2 linked regions of the Struthio camelus genome follow. The protein of the gene in region 1 interacts with the protein of each later gene in a biochemical or structural test. Links are inferred from orthologs where the notes say so. Each region holds a gene or a part of one and is shown on either strand. Other genes may lie near its edges.

Region 1 (7,265 bases):
TCAAGACAACAGAGAGCAAATTATTAAAAAATATTATTTACTTTATCTGTCTTTGTTCAACAATGGGCACATGAAATGATTAGATAAAACTACTTGCATAACTTCACTGTGTCACGAGCTGGAGTCTCTCTCATCCCTACAGAAATTCATCTATAAATCTTTAGTGGTTATAATAACAATGTAAGCTCACGTCTCGTCCTTAGGAGGTCAAATAGAGGAGCAAACTTATTCCCAAGGGAAATCCATGTGCCACAGCAGACCGTTTCAACACATCTTGTACCAATAATCGGAATATTACCAGCTCAAACTTTTTCAGCTGAGTCTATACACACAAGATGATTTGTTGGCGGACAAAGGTGATTTTACAATTCACTAAAGTCTGAATTCCAAAGACAATCATTTTTCAATAGAGCAAAATTGTTCCTCTTAAAGCATTGCTCTTAACAGTGTTGTAAACAACTAATTCTCCACTGAAATCAGAAAAAAAACCCATCAGTAATACTATCCTGCAGTTTCAATAGATTTGCTTTAACAGATGCCCTCTTCTCACATTCTGGGTGCTTTGTTTTGTTGACCTGCAAGAGCTTTATGTCTAACTTGAATTTGTCATTGCATAATAGGACATAATCCAAAATGTGTTGGGAGCTTTCACAACTCAACGCCTCTAAACAACAATAATATAAACAGTCTCAAACACTTACTTCCAAAATTAGTAATCCTAGAAACGTACTGTCATAACATGGATCCTTAAAAAGCCAAATGAACTACTTATCGTCACAGTCTTCTGCAGGCTTTTGCACAAGAGACCAGGAAAGCACTCGGATCTTCTACCTCTGTCCCAGTGGCACGTTCAATTTCCAGAGCCATAGATCTAATGTCTAATGTAACGTCAGAAACCATTAAATAAAAATCAGTATTTCCCAGGTTGGGAAATTCTGCAAAAAGCAGTGGCTAGTTTGTTTGGAAAAGTCTGTTTTGTAAGAAAATATTTGGAAAACTCCTCATCTTCCGGATTTAGAGAAGTACGTTTTTTCCTGAAGTTAATCTAGATACATCTTGCAGATCTACAATTTACTGTGGTGTTTTGAAACTTCTGCAATATTTTTTAATCTATACTGTCCCTTAAAAGTGGAAACTTATGTAAGATTATAGGAGTAGAAAGGCGTCTGCCTTTAGCTTATTAAAACACCAGCAGAAGTTAGTTAATGTGAGATTTTTCTATCGCGCCAGGCCCCACGTCACCTCTTTAACATGAATCACTAGCTGCTTTTGTCTCTTCAAGAACGGAAAAGTTACTCCCTAAAGAGCACACATTTAGGTTCTAAAAACAAACCAAACACTTCTGCTCTAAGTCTGCTTTTCACGTCAAGCAGTAACTGTAAGTGACTGAGCATATGGACTATTCCTGTACTCTCCCAAGAAACATACCTTTCTGACCGATTTTACCAAACCAAGAGGGTTCAACAGCTAGACACGAGCATAACTCTCATCTCCTTTTACTACTTTCATCAAGAAAATCTGATTTGAACTTGTTGGGTTTTTAAAAAAATTATTTGTCATTAATAGTGTTTAAATCGCATCCAACTGATCATTTCTTGACACAATTCTCCTCGGTGTCTCAGAAACGAAGCCGCCAGCACGATACCTCCGTGCGGCCAGCCTCCTAGCCTTCTCTAACGTACCTGCAGGGAACGTCTTAACGTTTGCTCAACGTAACTGATGAGATGTTTCTGACCTCACGGACTTATATGCCCCACAAGTTGCCGCGTTTTGGCAAGATCTGAGCCGGACTGGCTGGGTGCGACAAGACCACCCCGTTCGGGCTGGATCACAGAATCACAGAATGGCTTAGGTTGGCAGGGACCCCTGGAGATCATCTAGTCCAACCTCCCTGCTCAAGCAGGGTCACCTAGAGCACATTGCCCAGGATCACATCCAGACGGGTTTTGAATATCTCCAGCGAAGGAGACTCCACCACCTCTCTGAGCAACCTGTTCCAGTGCTCTGTCACCCTCACAGTGAAGAAGTTTTTTCTCAGGTTCAGATGGAACTGCCTGTGGTTCAGTTTCTGCCCATTGCCTCTTGTCCTGCTGCTGGGCACCACAAAAATGCTCTCTCCAGGTGAGGAGCGGCACGCGTCCCAGCGGCCCCGTGGCCGTGATTCGCGCCGTCATCAGCGACGTCGCACAGAGGGAGCGTTAGTCCCGCTCCAGCTGAGGCTGCTGAACCAGGGCTGGGCTGCCAGACTGGGGCCGCATTTTTCACATACTGAAGCTGTTTTCCCTTTCGCTTGGCTTAGGCCACTTCTGCACATGTCTAACCCCGTGGCGTCCGTGCAGCAAACTTTCTCAGATGTCTCCATGTTTGTCCCTACTGTCAGGCGTCCGGTCTCCATCGCGGTGTTAAATCACAGCGAGTTTTATAAACGCGCCAATCCCACTCAGGAAAAATTTAACCTCCGGGAAGTTGAACGAAGAGGGAGCACTGCTGCCCCTCCGCACTCGCAGCTCGCCTGGGCTCGAACCCGCGGCCGCGGCGCTTCCCCCCGCGCCCCGGGCTCGAACCGGCGGCCGCGGCGCTTCCCCCCCAACGCGTCCCGGGCTCGAACCCGCGGCCGCGGCGCTTCCCCCCGCGCCCCGGGCTCGAACCGGCGGCCGCGGCGCTGCCTCCCCACCGCGCCCCGGGCTCGAACCCGCGGCCGCGGCGCTGCCTCCCCCCGCGCCCCGCGGTACTCACAGAGCCGTGGCGGCCGGCGGGACGTCGGCGCCCGGGCGCTCCAGCCCGCGGGCAGAGCAGTTGACGAGGCAGGAGCCGCCGGCGCGGGCGGCGGCGCAGGTACAGCCGGCGGCGCAGGGCTGGCAGGCGGCGGCCGGGGGGGTCCTGGCGGCCGCCAGCCCCCCGCACAGCAGGGAGCAGAGCAGGCACCAGCCCGAGAGGGGCAGCCGCGCCGCGGGGACGCCATGTTTGCGCTGTGATCCAGTGTGTCCATTTCCAAAAGGCATCTCTCCCTACGGGCATGGCATGGCCCCGGCGCCGCCGCTCCCCCGGCCCGGCCCGGCCGCGCCCCGCTCCGCTCCGCCGCTCCTCGGCGCCCGGCGGCCCGCGCTCAGCGCCCGCCGCGCATCGCGGCCTCCCCGCTGCGCTGGCGCTGCGCGCTGCTCCCGCGGCGGCGCCCGGCCCGGCCCGGCCCGCTGGGCTCCCCCGCCGCTGCCCCGCGCTGTCAGCCCCGGCTCGGCTCGGCCCAGCCCGGCCCGGCTCGGTTCGGCTCGGCGCTGCGCTGCGCTGCGCTCCGCCCGGGCCGCGGCCCGCCGCTCCGCCCCTCCCGGCGGAAACCCGGCGCCGCTCCAGCCCCGCCGCCCGCCCGCCCGCCCCCGCGGCGCCCCCGCCCCCGCCGCGCTCGGCCCCGGCCGCCGCCAGCCGGCAGGGCCCCGACGGGGCGCGCAGCAGCAGCTGGCTGCTCGGGCAGAGAGCCGGGGGCGGGCGGGGGAGAGGGGCGTCCCGGGGGAGAGGGGCGTCCCGGGGGAGAAGGGGGGTCCCGGGGAACAAGGGGCATCCCGGGGGAGAGAGGGGGCATCCCGGGGGAGAGAGGCATCTCGGGGAACAAAGGGCATCCCGGGGGAGAGGGGGCATCTCAGGGAACAAGGGGCATCCTGGGGGAGAGGGGGCATCTCGGGGGAGAGGGGCATCCCAGGGAACAAAGGGCATCCCGGGGGAGAGAGGGGGCATCTCGGGGGAGAGGGGCATCCCGGGGAACAAGGGGCATCCCGGGGAACAAGGGGCATCCTGGGGTAGAGAGGCATCTCGGGGAACAAGGGGCATTCCGGGAGAGAGGGGAGATCCTGGGGAACAAGGGGCATCTTGGGGGAGAAGGGGCATCTCAGGGGAGAGGGAGATCCCAGGGAACAAAGGGCATCTCAGGGAACAAGGGGCATCCTGGGGGAGAGGGGCATCTCAGGGGAGAGGGAGATCCCAGGGAACAAAGGGCATCTCAGGGAACAAGGGGCATCCTGGGGGAGAGGGGCATCTCGGGGGAGAGGGAGATCCCAGGGAACAAGGGGCATCCCGGGGGAACAAGGGGCATCCCGGGGGAGAGGGGGCATCTCAAGGAACAAGGGATATCCTGGGGGAGAAGGGGCATCTCGGGGGAGAGGGGCGTCCCAGGGAACAAGGGGCATCCTGGGGTAGAGAGGCATCTCGGGGAACAAGGGGCATTCCGGGAGAGAGGGGAGATCCTGGGGAACAAGGGGCATTCCGGGAGAGAGGGGAGATCCTGGGGAACAAGGGGCATCTTGGGGGAGAGGGGCATCTCAGGGGAGAGGGAGATCCCAGGGAACAAAGGGCATCCCGGGGAACAAGGGGCATCCTGGGGGAGAGGGGCATCTCAGGGGAGAGGGAGATCCCAGGGAACAAGGGGCATCCCGGGGGAACAAGGGGCATCGGGGAGGAGGGGGAGGCAGGCATGCCAGGGGAGAGGGGACATCCCAGGAGACAGAGGGAATTCCAGGGATGGGGGGCATCCCGGGGGAACAAGAGGCAGCCAGGGGGGAGAGGGGCATCGCAGGAGATGGGGGACTCCTGGAGACAGGAGGAATTCCGGGAACAGGGACGGGGGGCATCCCAGGAAACAGGACATCCCAGGAGACAGGGCATCCCAGGGAAGAAGGGACATCCCGGGGAACAAGGGGCATTGCAGGGACAGGGAGCGTCCCAGGGGCTGGTGGGAGGCATCCCAGGGGACAGGAGTATCCCGGGAGGACAGAGGACATCCTAGGGGACAGGAGGCATCCCAGAGGACATCCTGGGGATGGGAGACATCCTGAGAAACGGGGCATCCCGAGGGAACATGGGGCATCCAGGGGACGGGGGGCATCCCGAGGGGGAAGGGGCATCCCAAGGATGGGGCACCCCAGTGAACAAGTGGCATCCCAGGGACCGGAGGCATCCCAGGAGTGAGGAGCATCCTGGGGCTGGGGGGCATTCAGGGGAGAGGGGGCATCCCGGAGACCAGGCAGGAGGGGCAGGGGACCGTCCCAGCGAGCCGGCAGGGACGCAAGGGTCCGCGGCTCCCGGCTCCGCAGCTCCTGCGACAAGACCTCCCTTGGCCAAAGCCGGGAGGTGAACAGCTTCCCCGCATCCAGCCCTCTCCGCTCTTTTCTTGGGGCAGGAGCTCTGCTGGGCAGAGGCTTCGGCTGTCTCAGAAATAAATGGGGGACCCTTCCCTCCTCCGAAGGCGGCTGGCGGGGCCCATCCGTGAGGGGGCAGGGGAGCATGGGCGCTGCCCGGCACCCTCCGGGGCCAGGAGGGCGTTTGGCCCTGAGCTCCTGGGGCTGAGGCCCGCTCTCGAGGCCGCTACCAGCCGAAAGCTGTTGAATGCAATAACAGTTGCCGGCTGTGGTGTGTGTTACAGCTCTGCAGCGCGGTAACCAACTCAGGTACGGACAGAGCTTGAAAACTGGCAAAAAACAAGGCAGGTGCTGTTCAGTGCTGGTTTTTTAGTGTTAACCGCAGCGCAGTCGTCGGGTTCACAGGCCACTTGCGGTCTGCAGAGAAACAGGGCCCTGGGGAAGGGCCTGACCTTCGCGCCGAGCCCAGGCCCGCCGGTGTCTGATGAGCCTCAGCGACCTCACGGCTCTTCGGTGATCTCAACTGGTTCTAGCTTAAAGTGAGCAAAGAATATTACTAAATCAAGTCTCCGTATGAGCAAAGGAGACAGAATTCTGCAGTCCTTGTAAAGGACATCGCTCTCCAAAACCAAAGCCGGCCCCGCTCGGAAGCCACGGAAGAGGAAGTGTGGGAGTTGATAACTTTATGGGGGACTTGATCTGTTAGCATTTAATATGTGCCTTTTTCGCCATGTCACTGTGCAATGGTGCACACAGAACATGGCCCCGGCCGTCAGCCGAGGGGAGAACACAAGGAAGCCCAAATAAAACGTAGAAGAAATTCTTGCTTTTGGAAGCGTTCGTCTTGTTCAGTGCCAGATCACTTACTGCGGAAACTAGAGGCCTTGGGTCCTGGCCAGGCCAGCACGGATTTCACCGCAGACACAGCGAATGTGTATGTGTGTCGCAGGCCGGGAGGGAGGTTAAAACGCGGCCCCAGAGCGCAAGCTGCTGGAGTCTGAGCGAGGGAAGGTCAGAGGAGACTTGGGGAGAAGCGGTGGACGTCTGCCCTGGGCACAACCCTCACCCGGAGCGAGTGGCCTGGGACGGGAAACCTGCGGGGCATAGACCCAAGGTGTTGCCTTTAGATCTGGCTCCAATCCATCCTTTCCCCAGAGACTTGCTCTTAGCTCTGCACCTCTGCTACACAGGAAGGCCTGGATCCAGCCGAAGATGCACCGCGGCAGTAAAGCCGTTCTGAGGGAGAAGTAAAGCGAGGAGGATAAATGCGTCTTACGGAGAGCCAGGAAAGAAGAATCACATTCCAAATACTGCATAATCGGCGCTGCTGCGAGGTGGGTTTGGAGCACAGGCCAGCGGCTGCTCTCTGCACCTGGGTGCAAACTCCCCCTTCACGCCGGCTGCGCTGGCAGAGCTGCAAACGCCCGGCGGTGGGGGCCGCGGCCGTGCGTGTGCGTGAGGAGCAACGCGGCGCTGTCTGTCCCCAGCAAACCCACGGGAACTGCGCTCAAGCCCTGCTTCGGGCGCGGGGTGACCACGTCCTGGTGCCTTGTCGCCGCGGGGAAGGAAACGCGCGGCCGTTCCCAGCAAACGCCCGAAGGGGCTTGCGCAGCTCCTGCGACCGAGGCCTCCTCGAGATTGGGAACGGCAGGAGACACGTGTCTACGTGGCGCCCTGGGGAACTTTCTCTGGCACTCGGGAACTCAGCATTACTTTCCCTCAGCTGGCCAAATCCTTTCCGGGGGGGAGAGCTTCCAGCGAAGCCGTTCGAAGAGACACCGTAGAGGAGTGATTAGTTTCTGTCCAGAGGAGCTCCCTCTGTCCTGGCCTTCGAGCCCTGGGGACAAATCCTGCACATCCTCCAGCGACAAGCGCTGTTGAGCTCAGTAGGGTCTGACGACTGACGTGCCGACCGAAGACACTTGCTCCTTGGGAAATTTGTTGATCCGGGCGTAACTTTCAGCGGGTTTTCGATAAATAAGAACGAGAACTTCTTGCATCTTCCATTAATTCGTGCTGCCGGTCACACGTTTAAAAACATTTCTCCATAATGCTTAAGTTCGGTGCAGCAAATCTCTCGAGCGCAGCGTGGGCAGCCGGCGGGCAGGTGCTCCCGCTGGAGCCTCCGCGGGCTGCTGCCGC
Region 2 (7,442 bases), on another chromosome or scaffold:
GTAAGGTTGTATGGGACACCTGTAAGCCTGGGATATCCTAACTTGAGCATACGACTAGAAGCTAAATAACCTCTTTAATTTAATTTTGAATGTAATTTTTGTATGATGCAAAAATCTACAAAAATGAAGCAGTAGGGCAGAAGAATCTACCTAAGAATTAATTTACAAGTAAGAAAACTGCAAAAGTTGGAACTACAATGAAGTTTCTACTTCAGAATAATGAATGAGATACACTCAAAAACAAACAGTAATGTATTGTTTGTGCTTAACAAGGAAAGCAGAAACAGAAAAGTACTACTTAATTATAATGTTGCTAAGTTAATAATGCAGTAGAAATCTTAGCTCTTTTTAATTTTTGAGTGCTTAATTTCTTAATGTTGCATTAATGCTGTTTCCTAGTTTAATTTCCTTATATTTATTTGGTTTAGCAATTCAGAAGCAAAATGAGAGAAATATATTGTGAAATGCACTGTAATGATATCATAATGCTACTAAAACGCCTTGCATTTTCCATAAAGTTGCTGATTGCATTTAGAGTCACCTCAGCAGTGCTAAATCATTTTAACAGTTTACTCTTATCTCTAGTGTCATTAAAGTTCTCTAAGTTTAGGAAATGTTTTGGAAAAACTGGAACAAAAAACTCAAGTTCCTGTATGAAAATGGCGCCTTATAACATGCATAACTTTAAAAATAAAAAACAGATTTTCTTCAGGCATGAACCCTTTATCCTTCCGCTATGGGACTGTAAAGAAGCTATATAAAATCATGTGATCGTACAGTTACCGACTGGGCTGACTCAGCAAAGTGTTTAACTATGTATTTAAATTCCGTTGAAATCAATAGAATTTAACATGTGCCTAAATATGATGTTGAAAAGGGATGGATTTGCACAAGTGCTTTAAAGTTAAGCCTGTAGCTTTTCTGAAGTAGGCCCATTATACGTTGGAGTGAGTGGGAAGAATTCAGATTGTAAAAGCCCTACCTTTGGGGTGACTGACTTAATGAGTAAAATGTTTTAATAATAATTTTTATATATAATCTGAAATATAAAACACAATGCAGTAGTCATTATAGTCTGTGAATTAGCTAACATAGCGTATATTCTATATCTGTCATTTTAAAATATGTATGCCAAAATTAAGAATGCTTAAAGCTAAATATCTTTCTGCTCTTGAAAACAGTTTGCTTTTTTTTCAGTCACTGAGCTATCTGAAGTTAGATCTGTGAATGCTCCCTATCATAAAAAAAAAAGGCAGCTACATTTATAAGAACATACAAACGCATGTGGATGCCTAATACTGGGATCCCACACTTCAAAATTTTCTGTGTTATGGACTCTTTTTAAAACTTATTCCTGAAGTGTTTCCCTGTAATACGAGACTGATTATTTTGAGGCACTGAATCACTAAACAGGATTATATTCTGCTTGACTCAATAAGCAATGCCACTTTTTTTAAAAATGCATTTCTGTCTTCGTTAGAGAAGCTCTCTATTCTTACTGGTGGTCCCCCTTGTACTCTTGTCAAACATCTCCCCTGGTGCCATACATTTCCCACAAAAAATTGGATATATTTATTCTCAAGAGATAAAAGAGCCTTTACTTTCTCACTCCTTTCCACGTAAGCTGTTCTCCTCTTAGCATGGTTACAAACCGAAGCGCTCCGGCATCGGATCCTGGTGGTCTAAGCAGGTCTCCCAGAGGCAGTGCTGGCATCCTTGCAAATGAGATATAGAAAGTAGCCCTTTAGGGAACAAACTGCAATGGTTTGATCAACTCGATTACTGAGTAGTCTGAAGCTAAGCTAACTCTGTAGCACTATCCATGAGAATATTATGAGTATTACTTTCAATATTGATGATAACAAAAATTGTCAGCTGTAAACATTACCGTGATACGTGTGATACTAGTCCTGTGCTGTAACACCCTACATGTCGCTGTGCTGCCACTGCCTTTGGCCTTGCCCCGTCCGGAGCTGGGTTTGTACTGTCTGCAGAGCTTTAATTCTTCCACAGGCGAAGTACCTCTTTCCCCTCTACCTCTTTATAAATGGGGCAGAGGAAAGCAGAGTTACTATGTGTATGTGGTAAATTGATGAGGGTGGCGGTGGTGGGGGGGGGGGGGGGGGGAAGGCAGGGAGAGGAGGGTGTTGAGCGGTGATAGGTACTGATTGGGGGATCCTATTGGGAAAATCCTATTGTCAGCTGCTGCAGTCTCCATCTGTCCAAAGGGACAGACTGTAACTCTCAGCAAGATTAGATGATGTGGCATGTGGAGGAAGAAATGGTTTAGGAAGAAGGGAGGAGACTTGAGCCACAGACCTCTAAATGGCATAGATTATCCAGAGGTCAAAGGAATACAACAGAACTTTGGTATTGTGAATCTTCCTTGGTATCAGTTGTGAGAAATTTAAAAAAAAAAAAAAAAAAAAGAAGCCCTTCACCACAACCTAACGTGTTAGAACAACAGACAGTTCAGGTCTTGGCCAAAAGGCAAAACCGAGCTTCAGATAACTGTCTGGCATTCTTGCATCTTCAAGAATAAGAAATGCTTGCGATAGTCCAGAGATTTGCTGGGTCTTCTAGAAACCCTTGAGAAAACCTCTGCATTGGCTTTTTTATTTTAGTGAGTAATCACTTCCCTGATGTCATTGCCACTATGCTAAAGTAGGAACATGGAGGGGCACTCAGCACTTTGGAAGGTGCCTGGCCACCATGCGGTAGTCATATAGTTAGGAAACGAGAGGATTTGGTCACCTGTGCAGCAAACACTTTATAGCACAGCGGGACCAGAGAGGTATTTAAAGTATCGTTTGTAACAGTGAAATGAAACTTGCCTTATCTAGGTGTAGCTCTATTAATCAGCAAACAAAATATACAACTTCTGAAACAGCGTTATGAAAAACAAAGCTTGCTATAGCATGCCTGAAGCCTTGCCAAGACCCAGGGGAGTGTGGTGCTGTAGTCTGACATGCAGGCAAATGCTACGATTCTGAAACCACATCGCCTCGTAAAACTGAGAAAGACGCAGTGCAAATTGCTTGGTGCTTCTAAATATAAGTGTGAGCTGCTCAGCCCCCTCCAAATTTTAATAAGTCAACAGAAAAGTGCATAGTATGTAAGCATGTATCATTTGCTGTGCCACAACTGGTAAGTTACTATGAGAATTGTATTGAGCATGCCAAAAATGGAAATGCTGCTCATAAATGAAGGTATGAAACCAGCTCCCCCATTAACATGTCCCTCCACCTTCAGCTTCCCCTGGCAGCACCCCCCCACCCCCCCACCCCGGCAGTTTCAGAAATCGCCTCTTCTGGGCTGACTGCAGGTCCTGTATCGAAAAGGCAGCAGCGAGACTCTACTGCTAAAGCCAACTGCAGCGTAGCCAGAGAAACGGGCAACAAAAATAGCACACCAGGATTGCTGTGCGTGGGTGAGGCAGAAACCACATTATGAGCAAAAGCTTCCAGTATTATTTCAGAACCAATACAGAGGCCTTTGCGTTTTGCTCGCTCTTCACAAAATCCCCCGGGGGGAGGGGAGGGCTGGGGGCCAGGAGAGCCCGTCAGCAGCGAAAGGCGGTGAGGGCGGCCGGCAGGGCCTCGCTCCTCGGCGCGGATGTGGAGGTGGAGGTGGAGGTGGACGGGGGCCCTGGCCCGCTCTCCCCACGCCCGCCCGCGCAGAAGCAGGGCTGCTGGAGCGGGCAAGGGTTAACTGCGCTCGAGGGCGAGCGGTGGAGGATCGCAGTCTGAAAGACAGAGACTGGACAGCTGTGTTTGCTGTGGTATTTTTAAATGCATTAATGCAGGCTCCAATCACCCGGCCATGCTTGACCTATTTTTGGCTCAGGCCAGCCATTGTTCTATTTCTGCCGCCTCTGGGCCACAGTGGTGTTGATTCATATGCAAATGCGGTGGCAGGAGCCGCGGCCAGCTCCGCCGAGCCCGGAGCCCGGCCGGCAGCGCGGCGGGCAGAGCGGCACTTGGCCGGCCGAACCCTAAGGGGCTCTTAGTCCCTGGAAACGGTGCTGATTTAGTTTCGTTTTTTTAAGAGGCTCTATCCTCCCCCCCCTCCCCCCCCCCCCCCCCCGGGCCAAGAAAGCCTGAAGCACAAAAATATTTCTTCATTTCTTCTTCCACCTGCTGTTGGCTTCCAGAGCACAACTGTTCAAACTCAGGGGTGCAGAGCCCACTGGGTACTTCCTATTCTTTTGCAGCAGACTGGGGCTGTGTGAAGTGGATCTTGCTTTTTTTCTTTCCTAGTAGCTATTTGTACAGATGCTTAAACATTGCTAATTACTGAAGTGTTTTATCTTGCAACCCTCGCTGGAGGAGGTAGGAGGACAGAGGGTCGCGCCTGACACCCCTGTGCAAGTGCAGTGATGAATCTTTCATGTAGCTGAAGTACAGCCTGGTTGGAATATGCTGCAGACAATTTACGAGAGTGAATCGTGTTTTTCCTCAGATGGGGTTTCTGGACGGGAGCAGCTCTTGGCTCAGCAAAGAATGCACAGTATGATCAGCTCAGGTAAGAGACAGCCCAGTTCCTCAGACTTCTCTGCCTCTGTGGCGGCTTTCTCAGAAAATGCAACCTGCTACAACTGAACGGAAAAAAAAAAAAAACCAAGCCCCTCCTTTAAAGAGCTGAGTTTATTTTTGTGGGCTTTTTATAAGTTGTTGTTAAGTACCATGTCTCTACCATGTTGTTTTAGATATCAGCTGCTGCTTTTGTTTGGGGTGGGGGGGGTCTGTCTTCTTTAGTCTACTGCTTTCTAGCAAGAGCAGAAAGCTATCAGCTGAAATATAGTTTGCAATTCCTGTCTTGTTTTATTTGTTTTGTTCTCTGATTGCAAAATGGGGCTTTGGTAGAGGCTTATTCACAGAGAGAGGCTTCATCAGACCAGACCTTTTTGGTAGGCTGCACTTAGAGCCCATCACAGGCAGCTCTGTTCATATGTAATTTTGTAAACAGGATTTGGTCTTTTTTGTGAGTTTCCTTTTCTCAAGTTTACATACAAAGGGATTTTTTTTTACATTAATCCTTTCCTGTTTTCCTAATGGTGTTGCTTTAAAAAATGCTAAAGCAAGTCTGTGTCTTTAATATGCATGGTTTATTTTGTTACTTTAAAAATATTTGGGAACTTGGCAGCGGTACTCAGATGTAATGACTCACTGAAATGTAAATTGGATGTATTTTTAATGAAGGTATTTCAAAGCTGCTCTGATAAAACATTGGATGTTACTTCATGTATTTGAAGCCCTCTTATATTTTCTGCTTTCTTTGTTAGCTGGATGTGAGACCTGCACAGGATGTACTGAGGATGAATAAAGCCCTAAGAACTGTAGCCATTCAGTTAAAATGTCAATTTAGACAGACTAAAAAAGTCTAAATTTCGGATTACCTTTGCCCTTTCTCTCTTAAACTCTGGCAGCTCCAGTTCTTTTTTTATTGGGCTGAACCTCTGCCTTTTGAGGCACAACGTTAGTCGCTTTATATGTTTTTCAATCCTACGTTTCTGACTTTGTTTTTCATATAATTGGTTTAAGGAGGATATGTACCTAAAATACAGTGTGAATAGTATACTTTAGTCTTAGTCTGCTCCCTCCTTTTTTTTAAAAAAAAAAAAGTTGGCAGCGCTTCCCACTTGTTCAGCATGATTATGTTGGTGGACCACAGATCTGTTTGAGTATTCCCTCTTTTGGTACACCTGTTGAGCCCGTGGTTGGTTGTTTGGTCGGTTGGTTGTTGTTGCTTTTTTTTAAAAAAAAGGTTCTATTTCTTTTCCTGCTGTATAGAAAAACAACTTAAAGCTGTACTTATATTTATTTTTTATTGCATATAACTGTAGAGCAGAATTATGGTTTCAGATATTAAAATAGATTGTTGTGAGAGATTGTGTCAAATAGCAACACCTTTCATGCAGGTTCAAATAATGAGAATCCCTAAGGGAAGGAAGAGTTCCAACTGGTAATGTTTAAGATTGGCAGTTTTTCCCCTTCCTTAAAAAGCTGCTGGGTTGGTTTGTTTCTTTTCATTTGAGGCTTTAGGGGTTTGTTTTTATTTTGGTCCTCTCAGATGATCTACCATTTCTTTATCTTTTTAGAGTAGGTTTTGATCACCAATTACAATTCCCATCTAAAAGACAGACATCAGGTGAAAGACTTATTTACAAACGTGAACAACTAAGCTGTAGCTAAGATAATGGATAAAAGCAGAAAGTTTTCTGAAAAAGTTGCCTTATAGTTCTGCAAAATCGTCTATAATGTTGACCTGTTGTTCAAGAAGTACTGCTTTGCTTTGTTTTTCCTGAACAGGTCAGCAGGTGCCCAGTGCTTTTGTATTGGTCGGAGAGATGGCACTGACTGCTTTTCTCCCCTCCCCTATTTTTGTTAATAATCCATCAGGTTGGACTTAGCTCTACATAAGTGAAAATCTGCTTTGTTAGCTCGCTATGCTACCTTGTAACCCACTAACTAATGTTCCTTGAGTAATAGCAATTTTCTTAATTGAAACACAAGAGAAGGAGAGAATTTTCTGTAAGTTTATAGCACTGCTGTTCTTCACTGGAGACAAAGATGCCATGCAGCATTTGGTTTTTATCTGATATTACATTAGGCCCAAATACCATTATGTAGTGCAAAGTAGAATAGAGTTTTTTGTTTTTTTTTTTAAATGGAGAGTCAAGATTGTTATCCAGGTAAGAGAAGTTTAAATATATATGCTTTGTAGAATGCAAAATAGCCTTCAATGTTTCTTTTGGCCTTTGAAATATACAACTAGATTGCAAGAAGTTGACACTATACTTAATCTGCAATTTAATTCATAGCACATGAAACCACAAAGTCTGGTGCTGCTGTCAGTTACCTTCCGCTCTCTTGAGCTCAGGGTCTTGCAGGATCAGGCCTGATAATTTTGTGTGTATTGTCTCCTTCTGTGCTGCATATAGGGGAGAAAGGAATTTCCCAGGGTATGATGATGTGCTCTGGTGTTAGGAGCAGCTAAAATCAGTCATTTGAATTTTGCTAACTGCAATATCTTTACTTTAAAGTTACCTTCATTCACATACATGTAGCTTTTGCTCAGATTTTGCACCTATTTAAGAAGAGAAGAGGTCCCTGAACATTTACAGCTTGCAGCCTTGATATTTCTGAAGTCCTGAATGAGCAGAACATAAGCACTCACTTAATGGATTTTTAAGTTTGCTAGTTTCCGGATGCGATGGGCGTGTATTCTTCACCTCTAATTTTAAGTGGGCCAGAGTCAGCCCCAAAGAAGACAGATTCAGTGGCCAGTGGATGCATATTTGCAAAGCAAACGGTCTGAGGAATTTCTGACAATAGCAGGCAGAGGAAATACTCCTGTCATGTGAGGCAGTTCTTCTGGTATTCCCTCAATTACTACTTTGCCTGTCTGTCTCCATCCCTGCTTGTAAATCATACTATGAA

Evidence for each region.
Region 2: the proteins of PKD1 (region 1) and HDAC9 form a complex in vitro, tested with the Homo sapiens proteins (2 studies listed by BioGRID, with this or other methods). The link is inferred for Struthio camelus from reciprocal best matches to the Homo sapiens genes PKD1 and HDAC9.

What each region holds. Positions count from the first base shown.
Region 1 is NC_090956.1:1,860,119-1,867,383, reverse strand, and holds the start of PKD1 (polycystin-1), read right to left. Parts: upstream 3,046-7,265; 5' UTR 3,003-3,045; coding exon 2,737-3,002; intron 1-2,736. UniProt on the Homo sapiens protein: Component of a heteromeric calcium-permeable ion channel formed by PKD1 and PKD2 that is activated by interaction between PKD1 and a Wnt family member, such as WNT3A and WNT9B. Both PKD1 and PKD2 are required for channel activity.
Region 2 is NC_090943.1:34,970,536-34,977,977, forward strand, and holds the start of HDAC9 (histone deacetylase 9), read left to right. Parts: upstream 1-4,353; 5' UTR 4,354-4,418; coding exon 4,419-4,524; intron 4,525-7,442. UniProt on the Homo sapiens protein: Responsible for the deacetylation of lysine residues on the N-terminal part of the core histones (H2A, H2B, H3 and H4).